Linked DNA regions of Lepisosteus oculatus. The protein of the gene in region 1 purifies or fractionates together with the protein of each later gene. This does not show direct contact. Links are inferred from orthologs where the notes say so. Each region holds a gene or a part of one and is shown in the gene's direction. Other genes may lie near its edges.

Region 1 (7,947 bases):
AAAATCAGATCAAAAGTAGCCAAAGTCAATTACAGCTACTACTGTATGTCATTCCTTTTGTCTGTGTGCACAGAGGTAACACCAGTTCACTCGAGTTTAGCTGTAGAGTGAGGCAAAGTTGTTAATGGAGAGTGATGACAATTTTAAAATGATTTTGACTGGCTGTAGGACAAGGCCTAGTTCTTCGAATTTTAAATGCATTTTATGCAGAAGCAAACCTTTACTTGGGGAATGTTTAACAAGAAAGTTTAGTATTATCAGCTAGCATTTAGCTACCAGACACATACATTTATGTCAAGCTCATTTCACCAAAAACTTTCAGACAAAGCAAGAAATATTTGCTTTAAATAATCACTTGAAATACTTGGAAAGTTCAATGTAAGAACATTGTAATGTGGGAACAACATACAAATATATACACATTGAGCCCATTTGTTTTTTTTTTTAAGATGAAAGCATAAGAAAAGAGGAGAAATTATTGTTCCCAATTTGCTTTTCTTTAGAGGAACTGTAATAAACATTCTAAAGTTTGTGATAATTTGTTCCATTGTTTGTATCAAATCCACAGGATTTCCTTTAATTAGTTTAAATACAGTAAGTCTTCACTGGTAATAATTTTTAAGGATAAATCTTTTTACTTTTATTCTGTAAGTAGGTATATCTTCAGTTTGTTCTGAAAGCCACATGTAATTGTTCATAGATTTTCTTCAATACACATTGAAAAGGCAGATTTGTCTTCCTGTTCTTAGGTATTGGTGCAGTGTCTGGTTGGTACAGAGAGAAACGGAAAGGTCAGACAAGCCTAGAGGTGATTCAGAAAAGCTGAACAAGTATCATGTGAATTACACTTGGTCCGTGACCTTTCGAACAATCAGAGTTACCATTCCCTGTTAGCTCTTCTAATTCAGAGATTTTCTTAAGCCATGAGAGCTCTTGTGCTATAAAACACAGATAATGTCATTCATGAAAGACATATCAGTTGCTTTCTCTTGAGCCCAGTAAGACCTCAATGCAAGAGAAAAACAAGTTGAAGCCTACCAACGACTGACAAGAAAGGGACAAGATGTTAGACTTCTTTTAAAAAATTAGTTTCACAGATGATTTAAAATATAAATAAAATATAAAAATATATAATATAAAAAATATAAACAAAGTAAATCTTGTAAGTATAAATCGTGTAAGGAAAGGATATCTTTTTTTTTAAGTCTGTACTGCTGGAAACAGTTTTTATTTCAGCAAATACTCCACATTTTAGTGGAACAAATAACTGATAACATTTGCAGGCTCAATGTATAGTATATCATCTAATTTTATTACACACAACACAAAGCATTGCCCATTTATTCTTAGCACTATTTAAACCATAAACATCTTTCTTTTTATTTCTAAATCAAAGTTTTAGCTCAGGGCTGACCAATCCTGGTGCTGAAGGGTAGGTAGGACTGTAGATTTTCCAGGTGTATTTAAAGCACCAACACCTGAAGAGATTGAAGAAGCTGACAAATGAGTCCAATTAAGACAATAACAAGCTGATTAAGGTCGTTCAAAGCCCAGCTGGACTGAAAACCTATAAACACACCAGCCCTCTAGGACCAGGATGGGGAGCCCTGCTTTAACCTTTACGTTTCATAATTTAGAAATAAAAGCTGGGCAGACCATCAACTCTCTTGATACTATGTAACTTAAAATTTTAAACCAAGACCAGCCGTTCAATGCTTTCACCAAGCTGGTGTACAAGAGTTCAGAGCAAAAAGGTTTATTCTATGATAAGCTTTTAAGCCTGGTGCTTTCATTGTGTTTATTGTATTCACAAGACTTGTCACCTTTATGTATTACAAACACTTGAGCATTCTTATCTTTTATTTATAGGCATTTCAGGTCTTTTCATAGAAACTGAACAACCTCCACTCTGTCTCTATGTTTCTTCCTGACCTTTTCCTCCTGTCTTGACATGGTATTATGAACACCCATGCCATACACAACACTACCTATATTAGCTCAAGATCATGTGGGCCATTGCTATGGCTTTATGCAGACTATTTCTTCTGAGCTGTCAGACCTGTATTCATTCCATATCCATGCTGAAAGGCAGACGGAGAGACAGACAAAGACAGGCAGTAGTCATCAGGTCAGAGTGAAATCGTCCCCAAAACACAAATGTTTGTATTCAAAGTCAAAAAAGCAATTCTCTCAGCAAATCGTCTAATAAATTTCCAGTCATGACCCATCCTGCTTCCAAAAACATTTACGAGACGACAAGGCTTTGGTGCGAATTGAGTGTCGGTTCAAACACCTGCTCTCTTTTTTTTCCCCCGCTGAAGTAGGGATTATAACACATGGCAATCTGGTCACACAGTAATCCAAATACTGCAATTAATAGCTAAGTAATGTAACCACATTTTTCTTTGGTTAATGAAAAAAAACAAAATCCCTGTCTCTTAGAACTTAAAAATCTACCCTGCCTTTCAAGCTTTTCCTAGTGTGATGTATTCCTACAGTATGTATTCTTAGGCATATTTTTAATTTATCCTTAAATCTGATTAGGTAGTCGTTAAAAATGAAAAGTGCACTTAATGTGGTTTGAAATGCCACAGGAGATGAAAACTGGTAGGTTTAAGTGCACTCAAGTTTGTCGTCAGCTTTCCAGTAGCTCAGATAAGTACCCACGGGAAACCCTCACTTTCAACTCACATGGGCATTGGGAAGCACTGTCCCTTTAGAAATCAATACAACATTGTTTCCCCCTGAGTACGTTCACTTTTCTCTTGCAAAATTTGCTTCCTTAAGCTTTATTTTGCTATGACTAAAGCTTGCCATTTTTTCAATAATAGTGCAGCATGGGAGGCGAAAGCAGTGTGTGACAGGATCAAACCAGGATCACCAGCACTGCAGGCAGGCTTGTTACTGCGTTTCTAAGAGGTCTGGCCCGCCTGGCAAGGAGATAATAAGCTGCTACATGACTCTTACCTCTCTGGAACTATACCAGGGATGTGCATGCTGCTCTGTTCCCTGCTGAACTGCATTATACCTCCTTATTGGCATGGGCTTCCTCCTGCCATTGATGTCCTGTTTAAAAGAAGGTTTTCTGGGAATTGAACTTGTATCGCTGGTGTCATGGGCAAATCTGTTGCTGTGATTCCCAAAGGTCAGGATTACCCGGCATCTTGTTTTTGCTTTTCAAGACTTTTACCAAGTGAGGGCAATGATAAAATCAGAATAACTTAAAAGTCACTGAGAAACATTTCATTTTCTGGTAGAGGCATAGTTGTTAAGCTCAACTTAAATATTCAATCCATCCATATTTTGTTATTCAGTCAGCTTTCATACCTCAACAAATTAAATGTATACTGGACCCTTCTATTATTTCATAGCCAGGGTAAATGAGTAAAAATGTTTGCCTATGTACAAAAAAAGAAAAATACCTACCTACCTGCTAATATGTTATATAAATATATTTAGGTTATAAGAGTGTGGAACAAGCTACCCACTCATGAGGTTGAAGCTGACACCTTAGCTCCATTCAAGAAATGGATGGATACCCTAATTCCCAGATGGGATAGATCTTCTTGTGTGTAGCCTTTTTTAAAGTTCTTATTAATTAAACCTAGTTCTGGACAAAATCAACATTCTTTCCACCAGGGATCTTCATCAATCAGTATGTTCAGTCTGTGTGTCAAATGAATTCAGCCTACAATGTTATATATATATATTCAACTGAAATAATTATTGCAGAGACACATAATGGTTTAGTAATTGCTTTTTAAGGCTGTCATGGTGCTCACAAATATTGCACATTCTCAACTACAGTTTTTTTTTCCATTGCTTTGAATGTGCAGACAATTAGACATGTTTATCTCTGTCTGGGGAAGATTGTTTGCAGCTGAAATGTTTCCACTCAACAAGGCTGTAATTCTATGAGCAATAAAAAATATTTTGTTGGTACACTTTTAAATTACTTTTCACCTTTGAATAAGGAATGCTTTTGGGACACAGAAACATAAAACCTGTCGTTTGCAAATAGATCAGAGTGGCACGGAGTGTTTGGAATACAGAGCAGTACAAAAAAGGAGGTTAAAGGATATTAAAACAAATTTCAGATTCAGACACGAAAAATAATATGTGACTCAAAACTAATATGACATGGATGGATAGATGGATGTTTGTTTATTATGCCTTCCAGCTAGTTGGGGCCAATAAAATGACATACATATTAATATTTGTTTTACAGACGTCTAAAACGTAGCCATGATTTGTGTGAGAAAATAGTCAACACCTTTTTGTTTACCACTGTCTTCACAGGCCCTTGAATCACACTGCGTTTAATTATATTATTAAACAGAAGAAAAGAGTAGTTTAGGTTTCAGCACTTAACAGAAACTATCCCTGTACTCTTCTACCGTGGGAGAGTTTAAAGCACATGTACTGCCTACCAGAGTCACTAAACTAGCATATACCAAGCTAATGCTTATTAGCTTATACGCTAATACACGGATCTTAAACAAACAAATGCATAGTTCATAATATTCAGCTCATAATATCCGTATGTAAAGTAAAATAATTAATTTTCCTGTGGATTGCATACACAGTAATGCTTAAAATTAAACCTACCTCGCAATCGACTAATCATGTCTATGTGACCACGTGGTGCGGAAGTACTTCATAGACGCAGACTCACGTTGTGGAGTGGAGTTGAGTTTAAATTTCAATGCAGAAAGCATAACGAGAAGCACATCAGAATGGAATGTAAGTCTGGCTAATTTTGTAAAGAAAAACACGTTTAAACCCTGATCACTAGGTGTAAAAGCTATTTCTGTAATCACACACTGTTTCTAGCTTCATCGAAAAAAATAGTTTTCTTCTCGTCACTCACCTTTTCAAGCTTCAATAAAGTATTCGTGTTTTGCAAACAAAAATTGGATATTAATAAATGTACTTAAGTTTACATGTACAAACGGTTGAAAGCCTATTTGTTTTCAAACTTGAAAAAATGTCAAGGTACGGTTTAGAGTTGAAACAGTCATATCAAACCCTTCCGTGCTTTTCATTTGTCCAGCTCGTATTTCTATGCAAATATCAAACGGGTTGTGAAGGTGTGCAAAGATATTCAAGTTATTCTTCAATTTTTTTATTGTTTTTGTATTATTTTGTATTATTTTTGTAGGTAGTGTTCAGTCTGCTCTACCAGCTAAACAGGCTGCAATTCTGGGCATCCAGGTAAATTTATTATTTTCAGACGTGCTGTCCTTTGCTGCCCTCTGCAGTTTTTGTGTACCAAAAAGTGGAGACTTCACACTTTTAAGCTGTTTTGCAACAGGGTGGGGTTTGTGCTTTTAGAAATTGAAAATCTGATCTTTTGAGTGTTTTGTTCTGTTCTCCAGAACATTGGCAGATTCAAGATTAAACGTTTTCTCTCATTTCCATTCTGCTTTACATATGAATTCCACTTGTGAGTTACTACTACAAATCTCTGAATTAATTTAGATTAAAGGAAGGCATTGCTTCCAATAGGGAGGAAGCGCTGAAGTGATTTGTCTCGTTCACTGCAGCAATAAAAACATTTTCTGCTTGTCTTCATAACAGTCCCAAGATGCCAATCAAGCAGAAGCTTTCACAAACGCATTTCTGAAGAGGAGCATGCCAAGGCTCAAAGAAGAGGAAATCCAGCAGTTTTTGGTTCGCAAGGCAGTGGTACTTGAGCATGCCTTCAAGAGAGTTCAGAAGAAAAAGAGGAAGAAAGCAAAAGGCCTAAATGCCAAGCAGAGGAGGGAAATGAAAGTATTTGAGCTGAAACCCGAGCAGCAGAAGTCAGTGCAATTACAGTTTATTATTTTTATTCAGTAATGTGTGAAATGGTAGAGTGAAACTCTTCATTTTGTTTTTTAATTTGAATGCAGAACACTTTGCTTTAATGAAATGGGAAAAGGGGGCATATCTTCCATCTGTTTGTATTAACTTTTATTAATCCTATTTAGAGAGGTGGGGAGCTGTGTCAGTATGCGAGCCGCAAAGGAGGAAGTAGAGGTTAATTGTACACTGACATGTATACAGAGTAAAAAAGATACAGGGTTTTAGTATGAACACCTAAAGAAAGCTCCACAGCCTTCCTTCATATTTTAGTGTGGAATTAACATCTTTTTGTTTGGTACAATTTATAAGGTATGATAGAAGTGCAGTAAATGGATTAAATGTGAATTACAATTAATTTTTGGAGTAAGGCTATAGAACAGGTCACCTGTTGACTCTAGAGATGGAAGGATGTCTTTTATTAAAGTTGTTTTGCCAGGTATGAACTCTTCTTGCCACTACATGAATTGTGGAAGCAGTACATGCGTGATCTTTGTAATGGACTCAGACCAGAAAGGTATGACTGCATGCTTAATTTTAAAAAGCTGTCAAAACAATAAACCATAATGCAATCAACAGCTGTCCTATGTTTGTTAAGGGTGGAAGTAAGCAGATTTTGGCATTAGCTCACTAGCAAAACAATAAAAACAACTTCTTAATTTGACAATGTTAACACATAGACAGGTACAACAGGTTTAAGCTTTCATTATCAGAGAGTCACCTTCTCTAAACTCCTTCAAATCCAGACTCAAAACTTTCTTTAGAAGAGCCTTTACTTAACTGGTTCCATTCTTCACTCCTCTGCTTTTCTTAGTACCACCATCCACGGTCTCCTCTGCATATTGTAATTGTGTTTTATCTTGTGTATTCTTTTTATTTATTGTTGTTGTTATTCTGTAAAGTGTTATAATTGTATGATTGATACATTATGTTTTCTAATATTTATATTTTTAATATTTCCCTGGGTCATGTTAAACTGTAAATCATTGACAAGAAGGAGAAATCTGTTACGATTTGATAACTAGTACCACAGTGAGCACTTCAGGGAACTCTTTATTTGCTTCTTTAGGATGATTCCTGAAGATCATTATGGAAAATATATTCAGTTTTCCTAGTATGATAATTCTTTCTCATCATTTCTTTATAATTTATATCAAGATGTCACAAATTGTGGCTTAAAACACTAGTATTTTAAGACCATAACTGATACAAGGCAGGTTCTTCTATTTCACCCTTTGTCCTATTAGTTCCTTTAAAACGTTTTACCATTCAGAATGGATAAAGCAAATGCACTGTATAAATGAAATTCTGTCTTGCAGTTAAATCAGGTTTTTCTACCACTTTTAATTTAATCTTAGCAACCCTCAGATGATCCAGAATAAGCTATTGAAGGCAGATTTCCATGGTGCTATTATAACAGGTAATTGTGTTGTTCTTTTTCTTTAATCTGACATAAAGATACATAGAATTCTTTAAGCAAAATAAGTACTGTACATTCTAGTTTTAATTTTTCTCATCAAAGCTTCCAATCAAAACAATAGCCTTAATAATCTTTTTTGGAAGTTGTGAATAAATATCTTCTTTTTTTTCCAGTAGTCAAATCTAAGTGTCCTTCTTATGTGGGCACTACAGGAATTCTTTTACAAGAGATGAAGCATGTGTTCAAAATTATCACAGAAGAGGACAGGCTGAAAGGTGTGCATCAATTATCCATCAATCTAAATAATGTATGTTTTAATGCTTTGTTCAGAATTTATGTTGTAAAGTAATTTCTGTTTTTTTGTCTTTTTTTTTCCTCCCTACAGTTATCCCAAAGCGCAACAGTGTCTTTAGTGTGGAAATTGATGGATTCATTTCCTATATCTATGGCAGCAAGTTTCAGCTCAGATCAAGCGAGCGCTCAGCTAAGAAATTTAAAGTGAAAGGAACCATAGACCTTTAATTGAGAGCCAATGTAGCTGAAGCAGCCTCTTAGGAAATGTCACCAGTTGCTCCACTGAGACTAATGGAAAGAGATTTGCAGCTGCCAGGCAAGATATGAAAGAAATTCAGCTTCTCGGAAAAGGCTATTGATTAGCTTGTCTCTGGAGAAACATCTTTTTT
Region 2 (8,042 bases), on another chromosome or scaffold:
GCACCTCTTGCAGAAAATGTCCAACTATCTACATTGGGGAAACGGGAAGGAGACTGGGAGACCTCTTCAGAGAACATGTCAGGGCTGGAGAATCAAAGATCTCTCCAAGCCCATAGTTTCTCATTTCACCTCCAGTGGTCATGATCACACTGATCTCTCTGTCTGCGTTCTCAAAGAAGGGTTTCTCAACTATTGCAGAAAGACATCCGAAACCAAAATTATCCTGAAACTATCACACCTTCCCCCTTCTCTCAACAACTGACTCGTTTCCTTCAAATCCTCTCTGTTCATTTGAGGGTTTTGACTTCACACCTCTTCACCTCTCTCGACTTCGCACCACCTGAGTGCCCACTCTGCTGCTCTCCTCCCTCCTCCTCTCCATTCCCGGCTTTTGTTCTCCCATGCTTTATTACCTGCTGACTTTCCTGCCTTTCTCACACCCGAAGGCTCCACAGTTGAAGCATTGTGTTTCTTTTCTTCTGTTTTCAGCATGGAATAAACCTTTACTTGTTCCTTTGCAATCTGCGCATGCTGACGCAGCTACCTACTTGAACTATTTTAAAGTCTTTGTTTCTTGTAATAGTTGATAGCATTAACAGCTTGTTTATTAGCCTGGTATGAACTAACAACTACTAATGTTTAGTTGGTAACAAATGTCTGACCGTTCTCATATATAAATTATTTATTACTGCATACTAGAGTTTTAATAGATTGTTATGCATTTATAAAGTGTTGTTTGTAGCCCTTGAGCTGAAGTGTTGAATCTCTGTGTTTTCTTTCATTTAAGATAAGGCAGCAAACTGGGGGAAACTATTTAATGATGTACATTTTTAAATGTATTCAGTACTATAGTGTAACAGAAGTGTTCTTGATTTAAGGACAGTGGAGGTCTGGGAGGTGGTTGACATACTGTAACTGCAAGAAAATTGCTTTAGCGTAATTAAGTGAATTTGTCTCTTCCACTGCTAAAAATCCAAAATTTGCAACATATTTCTCAGCGTGTACTAACAGAAAATGCATGCCTGCTCATTTCCTGTGAAACGTCTATGTCTCTGCTCATCTCAGGCCAGGTACAGAGGTCATACCTAACAGTTGGAGAGTCTCAGTCTGACAGACTGCCTAACCAGGTCTGGCTTTAATTTCAGAGCACAGACAGATATCCATGTTAATTTTCATGTGTTAAATAAAAATACATTCAAAAGAACTACAGATTTAGGAGTTCAAATATGAATACTATGAAATGAAGATGGTTAAGTGTAATACATATTTTACCCATGTGTATAAGCTTAACTATACTGTATATAGCTAAACTTTTAGAGCATTCTATTTTACCTCTGTTTAAATAATGCTGCATCCAGGACCACAGGTAAATGAAATCACTATTCCTCTGAATGCAATACAGACTGTGAAGCACAATTAAGCAAAAACCTGACCCTCAACATTCAAATACAGAATATATTTTTAATTAGTTCACTCAGTATATTCTCTAAGCAGGGACTAACAGTATCGTTTTTTGTAGTCCAGAGCACTGCTTTTAATCCTCCTGCAGCCATGACATAAAACCCTATATGAGCTACAAAGTGTTTTATTGTGCTCTGAATTCTCTGCACAAAGCTGTATGGTTGTGAAAAAATGCACAATTGGTAGGACCAAGTCAAAACCAAGTAAGGATATCATAATGCAAATCAAACAGTTTTGCACCTTCATCTGTTTCTTTTGTTTACTGTACCACTGTCTATTCTGTCATCTTTTCTAAAACACCAGTCACTGGAGCCCAGAAAAGCTTAATAAGCCTTCCTGTCTGAAAAGGATGTATTGCATTTGTTCAGTGCATCTGGGCTCTTCCTGCAGAGAACATCTTGGCAGAACAGTGTTTTCCCCCAGCCCTCTGCCCCCTTTCTGAGATCTTTGACATTTGTCTGTACCAAGGGATGGCCAACCCGGGTCCTTGAGAATCACAGTCCAGCAGGTCTGATGGGTCACTCATTGCCCCCCCAATTCCTAAACACCTGGAGTATCTCAAACACTGGAGAGGGTGAGCTATTCAATTCGGTTTTTGAGCGGTCATTTGGACCACAGCTTTCTTATCCTGATTTCACTGAACCAGTTAACCCCCTAAATAGATCAGAATGCACGTGTTCAGTCTTCAGAAATGTGAGGGTGACCCAAAAGACCTGCTAGATTCCAGCTCTCCATTAACCAGGGTTGGTTTACAACTATTGGCCTACACTCTGTGCTGCACTGAAGCAAACTGGAACAATCCTGCAGATACCTGCTGATGTTCGGATTGTTGACTTGATGTTTTGGACAGGATGTCTTTTGGTTTTTGTTCCAACCTGAGTAGTCAGCCAATTCCCCTAAGTCTTTTCTTAATTAGATAATTAACAAATATTGGGTTAAGAAAATAGAGAATAACAAACAATACTGGGTGGGATAATCAAGAATAATAGACTAATTGTAAAGATTATACCAAGAATATACACAACAGGTTGGTATAGTAAGAGGCATTTGAGATCTTTGTTCTCTGACACAGCTCAGTCAACTCAGGCACAAATTGGAATAAACTAATATTTATTAAAAAATAACAACATAAACTAAATGCACAACATAAAACATTCAAATTACTCTATTTATAAACAAGACATTTCATGTCTTGGAAAAAAAAACCCAGATTACTTTCACAAAGTATGCACCAATCCTAAATAATGCCCTCACAGGTCAACTGTGAAGAACTAAGCCTGCCTTCTTAATTAAAGATTTAAAGACCTACAGTTAAATCTCTCCCTCTATAAATCCAGATGCTACAAAGTGAATGGGATGCATCTCCCTAAATGCATCCTTTGACCAGGTGAGATTGTTTTTAATCTAGGGATTTTATATACAAGAAATAAAAGTTCCCTGAGAATAACAGAATGGCAAACTCTCTTAACAAGGTTCAAATATTTATCTAGAATCTTGTCTTCATTGGTTGATCCAAACCAGAACCTGTAGCCTGGCACTCCTTTTTCTCTCTCCTTGTGTTTTGCAGTCTGCCTCATCTCCTCCCTGTTCTCTTTTTACCCTCTCTCTGTCTTTGTTCCCAGACTGTTGATGACTCTTAATTATTTGCCAAGAATTTAATGAACCAAGGTAAACCAGACCCATTACAAGTCAGAGAACACCTCAGGTGTCGATCCTTGTCTTTAATTCTTATGACTCCTCAATAGCCACTTCCTATAGCTTTGACAATATATAGGATTTTTCAAAAGGTCTTTTAGTTGACTAGGCAAGAGCCAGACGTTCACTTCATTAAAGGTTCTGTTGCGTAGAAATCACCTAGAAACATGTTAGAAATGTTACATTGAATAATTAATTAAATAAATAAATGTAACAGAGAACATGATCAGAACAAAAATCAGAAGGCACTGGGCCTTGCAGGAATGGAGTTTGAGATACTATATAGTGTACCTTGAAAATTAACTTAGTCCTCAAGATTTTTTTTCTTTAGGTATTATAATTGTATATAAGTCTCAAGCAAGTATTGAAAATTATCCATAGTAGGTATTTATTGTACTGCACACAATTACCATATTGTGTTTATTGGTATATTTTATGGAGTTTTCATTGTGCTAAAATATAGAAACAATTCTCATTTTTAATATTTTATTGTAATTACTGTAGAAATGTGTATGTAAATAGTATTATGATTAGTAATAAGCTCCTCATGACGAGAATAGAAACTGTTGTTCAAGATGTGACATGCTTAATTTCGTTGTGCATCCATTTTCTAACCACTTCTTCCAATTTAGGGTCAATGGGCACAAGGCAGGGATGAGACACCAGTCCATCACAAGGCAGTACAAATGCAGACACACCAGGGCTAATTATCCCAGAAGCCAATTCACCTACCACCAGTATGTCTGTAGACTGGGGGAAGAAACTGGAGAACTTAGATGAAACCCACATGGGAAATCACACAAACTCCACATAGATACAGTAGCTCCCCAGGAATTGAACCCAGGGCCAGAGCACTGCAAGACAGTTAAGCTAACCACTGCGCCACCCACTTTCATTTTAATATCAGTTAACTGGTGGATACAATGAATTGCCTCCACTTTTAGTAGTGTAACTAAAATGTTTTCTGAAAGACAGTATTTTTGTATGTTGTAGAAACTTTAGTTTAAATATTAAGAATAAATATTAAGGTGGAGTAAAGCCGTGTACGAAATTTGGGAGCAGAATTATTATGTTATTATGTAGGTGGATGCTGCACATTGGTGGTGGTGGAGGGGAGTTCCCATTACCTGTAAAGCGCTTTGAGTGGAGTGTCCAGAAAAGCGCTATATAAGTGTAAGCAATTATTATTATTATTATTATTATTATTATTATTATTATTATTATTATTATTATTATTATGATGATGTCTAAATGACCAATCCTTCACAAGTGACCAAACAATTTAGCCGAAATAACGAATCGTAATGCTTTTCCGTGTATTAAATTCCGTGATGTAGAAAGTAAAGATAATTTTATTTATTTACTACTGGAGACGTGGACTGAGATTTGATTTATATTAGGACGTCATATGGACCTTTTGAGGACATTAGGTACAGAACTGTATACGAGCACAGAGCTAGGTCGGACTGCAAAGGCTGTAGAACAGGAAGTACGACTTGAAACGTGGTTACAGTGCGGAGTTTAATCTGAGTTAAGGTGTCAGGTAATGTGAAGAATTTTTAATCAAACCAACACCAGTCTCTGACATGTTGAGTACTACAAATCTGTTTACTTTGCTCTGTATCATTAGGAGCCTTTTTCTTAGCTTCTGCCTTGCAACACTGAATCAAAAGCAAATGCTGTCTTAAGTAATAATGTCTTCTCACAGAAAATCTCGCAGATATTATTATTATTATTATTAATAGAATGATATATTTGCGAAATACTGACAGCATTTCTTTTAGTCTTTTTTCCTATAACATTCGCGAAATCGTGAATTAAGGGTGCAAAAATAAAGCAGCTTTTAGAAACTACTTTCTCGCTACAGAATATAACGGGGTTGACTAAATTAACATTGTTAGGAAACAACTGTGTGAGTTGATCATACCACACATTGTTGCTGTATTGTAATTTTATTTTTTGTTATTGCATGGTTACAAAGTTTCTCACTTAAACCCAAAGCAATACGTTATGTTGCTCCTCTAAAGTTAACAAACACAGTGGAATTGCAGGGCCGTGCAATCTGTGCAGAACATTATTTTCTGCTGTGTGATTACGGGATTTTTCTCTTTGTTAAGGAAATAGCATGAGACGCTCTGGGAAACAGGAGGAGGAACCTGCAAGTTATGAAAGGCTTGTTTTGAAGAATGCATCAGTGTACCATTATCTGAGGATCTCCCTGTGAGTGTGCCGGCATGTTTTGTTTTCACGAGCATTTCTTGGTGTCTCCTACAAATTGTTTGATCACGCATGAACGCTCACCTGGCACCTCATTAAATGTACTGCAGTTAATCTGATAATAGCAACGAGTGTTGTTTCCAGGCTGTTTCAATGTCTTTAATATATTTTTTTAATTGTATCGTAATTTACACCATAGCTAGGTTTTACACTAAAATGTTCACAGACGTGTTCTGGAAATCATTGTTCAACTCTGACCAGTATTGCTCAACTGATGTACGGTGTTGTTGTTTGATTTTAAAACTGAAGATTATTTTTCTAACATCCTACACATCAATATGAATGTGTTCAAATTTATTATAAAGATGTATAGAAATATCTAGGGAGATTTGGTGGATCAGTGATTAGTATTGGTGTCTTGCATCACTGGGGCCATGAGTTTAATTCCAGACCTGGGGTGCTATCTGCATAGAGTTTGTATGTCCTCCCTGAGTTTGTGTGGGTTTTGGCTGGGTGCTTTGGTTTCTTCCCAAAGTCCATAGGAGGATTAATGGGTAGGTTATTTGACTTCTAGGAATGTTGGCCTTGGTCTGAGTGTAGGCGTTTGTCTCTGCCTTGCAATGGACTGGCGTCTGGCCCAGGCTGTATCCTGCCTCACTTTCGTTGCTTGCTGGGATAGGCTCCAGCTGCCCCATGACCCTGAATTGGATCAAGTGGTTAGAAAACAAATTGCTATAAATACATTTTTTTTAAATCATCCCTCTTTTTTTTAAATCAAGCTCTCATGAGAATTCGGCTGTGATTTTGCAGGTGTGAGAAATGCATTGCCAAATATCTAAGCGACTTTTCTCTAGATGCAGACAGGGCAGAATTTTGTTTCCTTCTCTGTTGGTGGAAAACTCTGGCCTTGTTTTTACAGAGTATTCCAAGACAGTGACAAAAGACTCAGTGAGGCCCAGTTCAAGCAGCTGATCATTTCAGCCCTCAGAGACCTGTATGGAGAGGTATGTAAATGCAAATATAAGTTTGATGTACCAGATATACAGAGCTAGACTCCATCTTGATATACAGACCCAGTTTGGAAATATTTAAATGGACTTTTACCCAAATTGACAAATTTATTTTGTTAATAATTTGTTAACTCTGTTGACAAATGGATCTACAGAATAATACAGTACAGTTCATACAGCTTTTAGGCCATATTTTAGAAGAAACGCGTATCCTCTGTTCTATAAGAAATAATAGATGAATATAGTGTCTTTGCTACTATCAATCCTTGTGTGTTTTGTATTTGATTTTCAAGCAGCATTTTGCATGGGAACATGACCATAAATACCAGAAAGTAGGTGCTTCAGAAAGGAAAGGGGAGTGCAAATATCTGTTGCACAGTTATGTTTATCAGCGTTTCATTAAGGGAAGTGTATTGTGAAATAAAGAGAAAGGTGTTAGCTTTGCTTGATATGTTTAACGTGTGTTGCAGTTTTGTTTTAATGGGCAACTCCAGAAATAGACACAAATAACACAGATGTTTTGTAGATTGGAGCCGCCTTTCCTTTCGATGTTCTAAAATTTGAGGAGAACACGCTGAAAGCGATAATACGAGTGTTGAGCAGGTAAAGTAATATTGCTTGTCTGTAAAAATGAAAAATGTGGAAGCAAGCATAGTAAAAATAGTCAACGAGTCAAATGTCCTATAGTTCAAAACAATTAGAAGTGTATTCAAGATTTTTATATTATTGTTTGGTTATACAATTTATTTATATGTATGATTTATGATTTATTTTTTTTAAATGTATTTTAAAATGTACAGGATCGACAATGGTGTTTGTCCACAGCCCTTCCTCTGAGTCACTATGCAAATATTTTTCTTCCAGTGGCCTTGTGAAACTGTGGAGTGCTCTGACATTACTAGGATCCTATCAAAATGAACCATGTGCCTTTAGGATTATTCAGGTGAGTTAATTAGTTGAAATAGCCAATTTGTTTTTGAATGTACAATATTCCCCATCTTTTAAAGTTACACCATGTAAATGCTCAGTGTTTTGCAAAGTTCTTTATATTTTGTGGACTATTTTATATTTTGTGGGAAAAAAACAAAGGGAATGAGTATTTTGTCTGCTTTCCAGTAATCATATTTGAATTATTTTAACTTTATTTTCTTACAAAGTGTGAGCACACTCTATTGACAGATTTATCTACATAATAATAGCCTCAGTTCATACAGCTTATTTGCCTTTTGTGTGTCTTACAGTCTGATTGTACATTAAATACATACTACATTACATACATTAAATACAGCACACTAATGTCAGCACACATGGGAATTATAAACATTAAAAACATATTTCACTTAGGCCTAATTTACACCACCGAAATTTTGCCTTGTTCTTCATAGACTGCAGAGCAAAAAATGAACAACAGATGGCAGCAATAGGTTTGTAGTATTGCCTTGTGATGAATGACTCAACAGAAAAATACACAAAGGGCTGTGTATGTAATAAGATATACATATGTGAGAAAAGGTTTGTGAACCTTTTGGAATTAACTGGATTTCTGCATGAAGGGCTCCTAAAATGTGATCTGATCTTCATCTAAGTCATAGTAATAAATAAAGACAGCCTTGTTTAACAAACAACCAGCCCTGCCATATAAAAAAATCACACAATTTT

The links. The genes of interacting proteins can lie anywhere in the genome.
Region 2: the proteins of pop4 (region 1) and rpp14 purify together in Homo sapiens (affinity purification with mass spectrometry; 3 studies listed by BioGRID and IntAct, counting the BioPlex papers as one, with this or other methods). This does not show direct contact. The link is inferred for Lepisosteus oculatus from reciprocal best matches to the Homo sapiens genes POP4 and RPP14.

The regions. Positions count from the first base shown.
Region 1 is NC_090715.1:6,023,830-6,031,776, reverse strand, and holds the start of pop4 (ribonuclease P protein subunit p29), read left to right. Parts: upstream 1-4,661; 5' UTR 4,662-4,736; coding exon 4,737-4,743; intron 4,744-5,161; coding exon 5,162-5,214; intron 5,215-5,580; coding exon 5,581-5,804; intron 5,805-6,283; coding exon 6,284-6,361; intron 6,362-7,202; coding exon 7,203-7,264; intron 7,265-7,437; coding exon 7,438-7,539; intron 7,540-7,649; coding exon 7,650-7,786; 3' UTR 7,787-7,947. UniProt on the Homo sapiens protein: Component of ribonuclease P, a ribonucleoprotein complex that generates mature tRNA molecules by cleaving their 5'-ends.
Region 2 is NC_090699.1:56,404,498-56,412,539, reverse strand, and holds the start of rpp14 (ribonuclease P protein subunit p14), read left to right. Parts: upstream 1-4,595; 5' UTR 4,596-4,699; exon of another isoform or gene 4,700-4,744; intron 4,745-5,273; 5' UTR 5,274-5,281; coding exon 5,282-5,376; intron 5,377-6,292; coding exon 6,293-6,377; intron 6,378-6,909; coding exon 6,910-6,986; intron 6,987-7,247; coding exon 7,248-7,326; intron 7,327-8,042. UniProt on the Homo sapiens protein: Component of ribonuclease P, a ribonucleoprotein complex that generates mature tRNA molecules by cleaving their 5'-ends.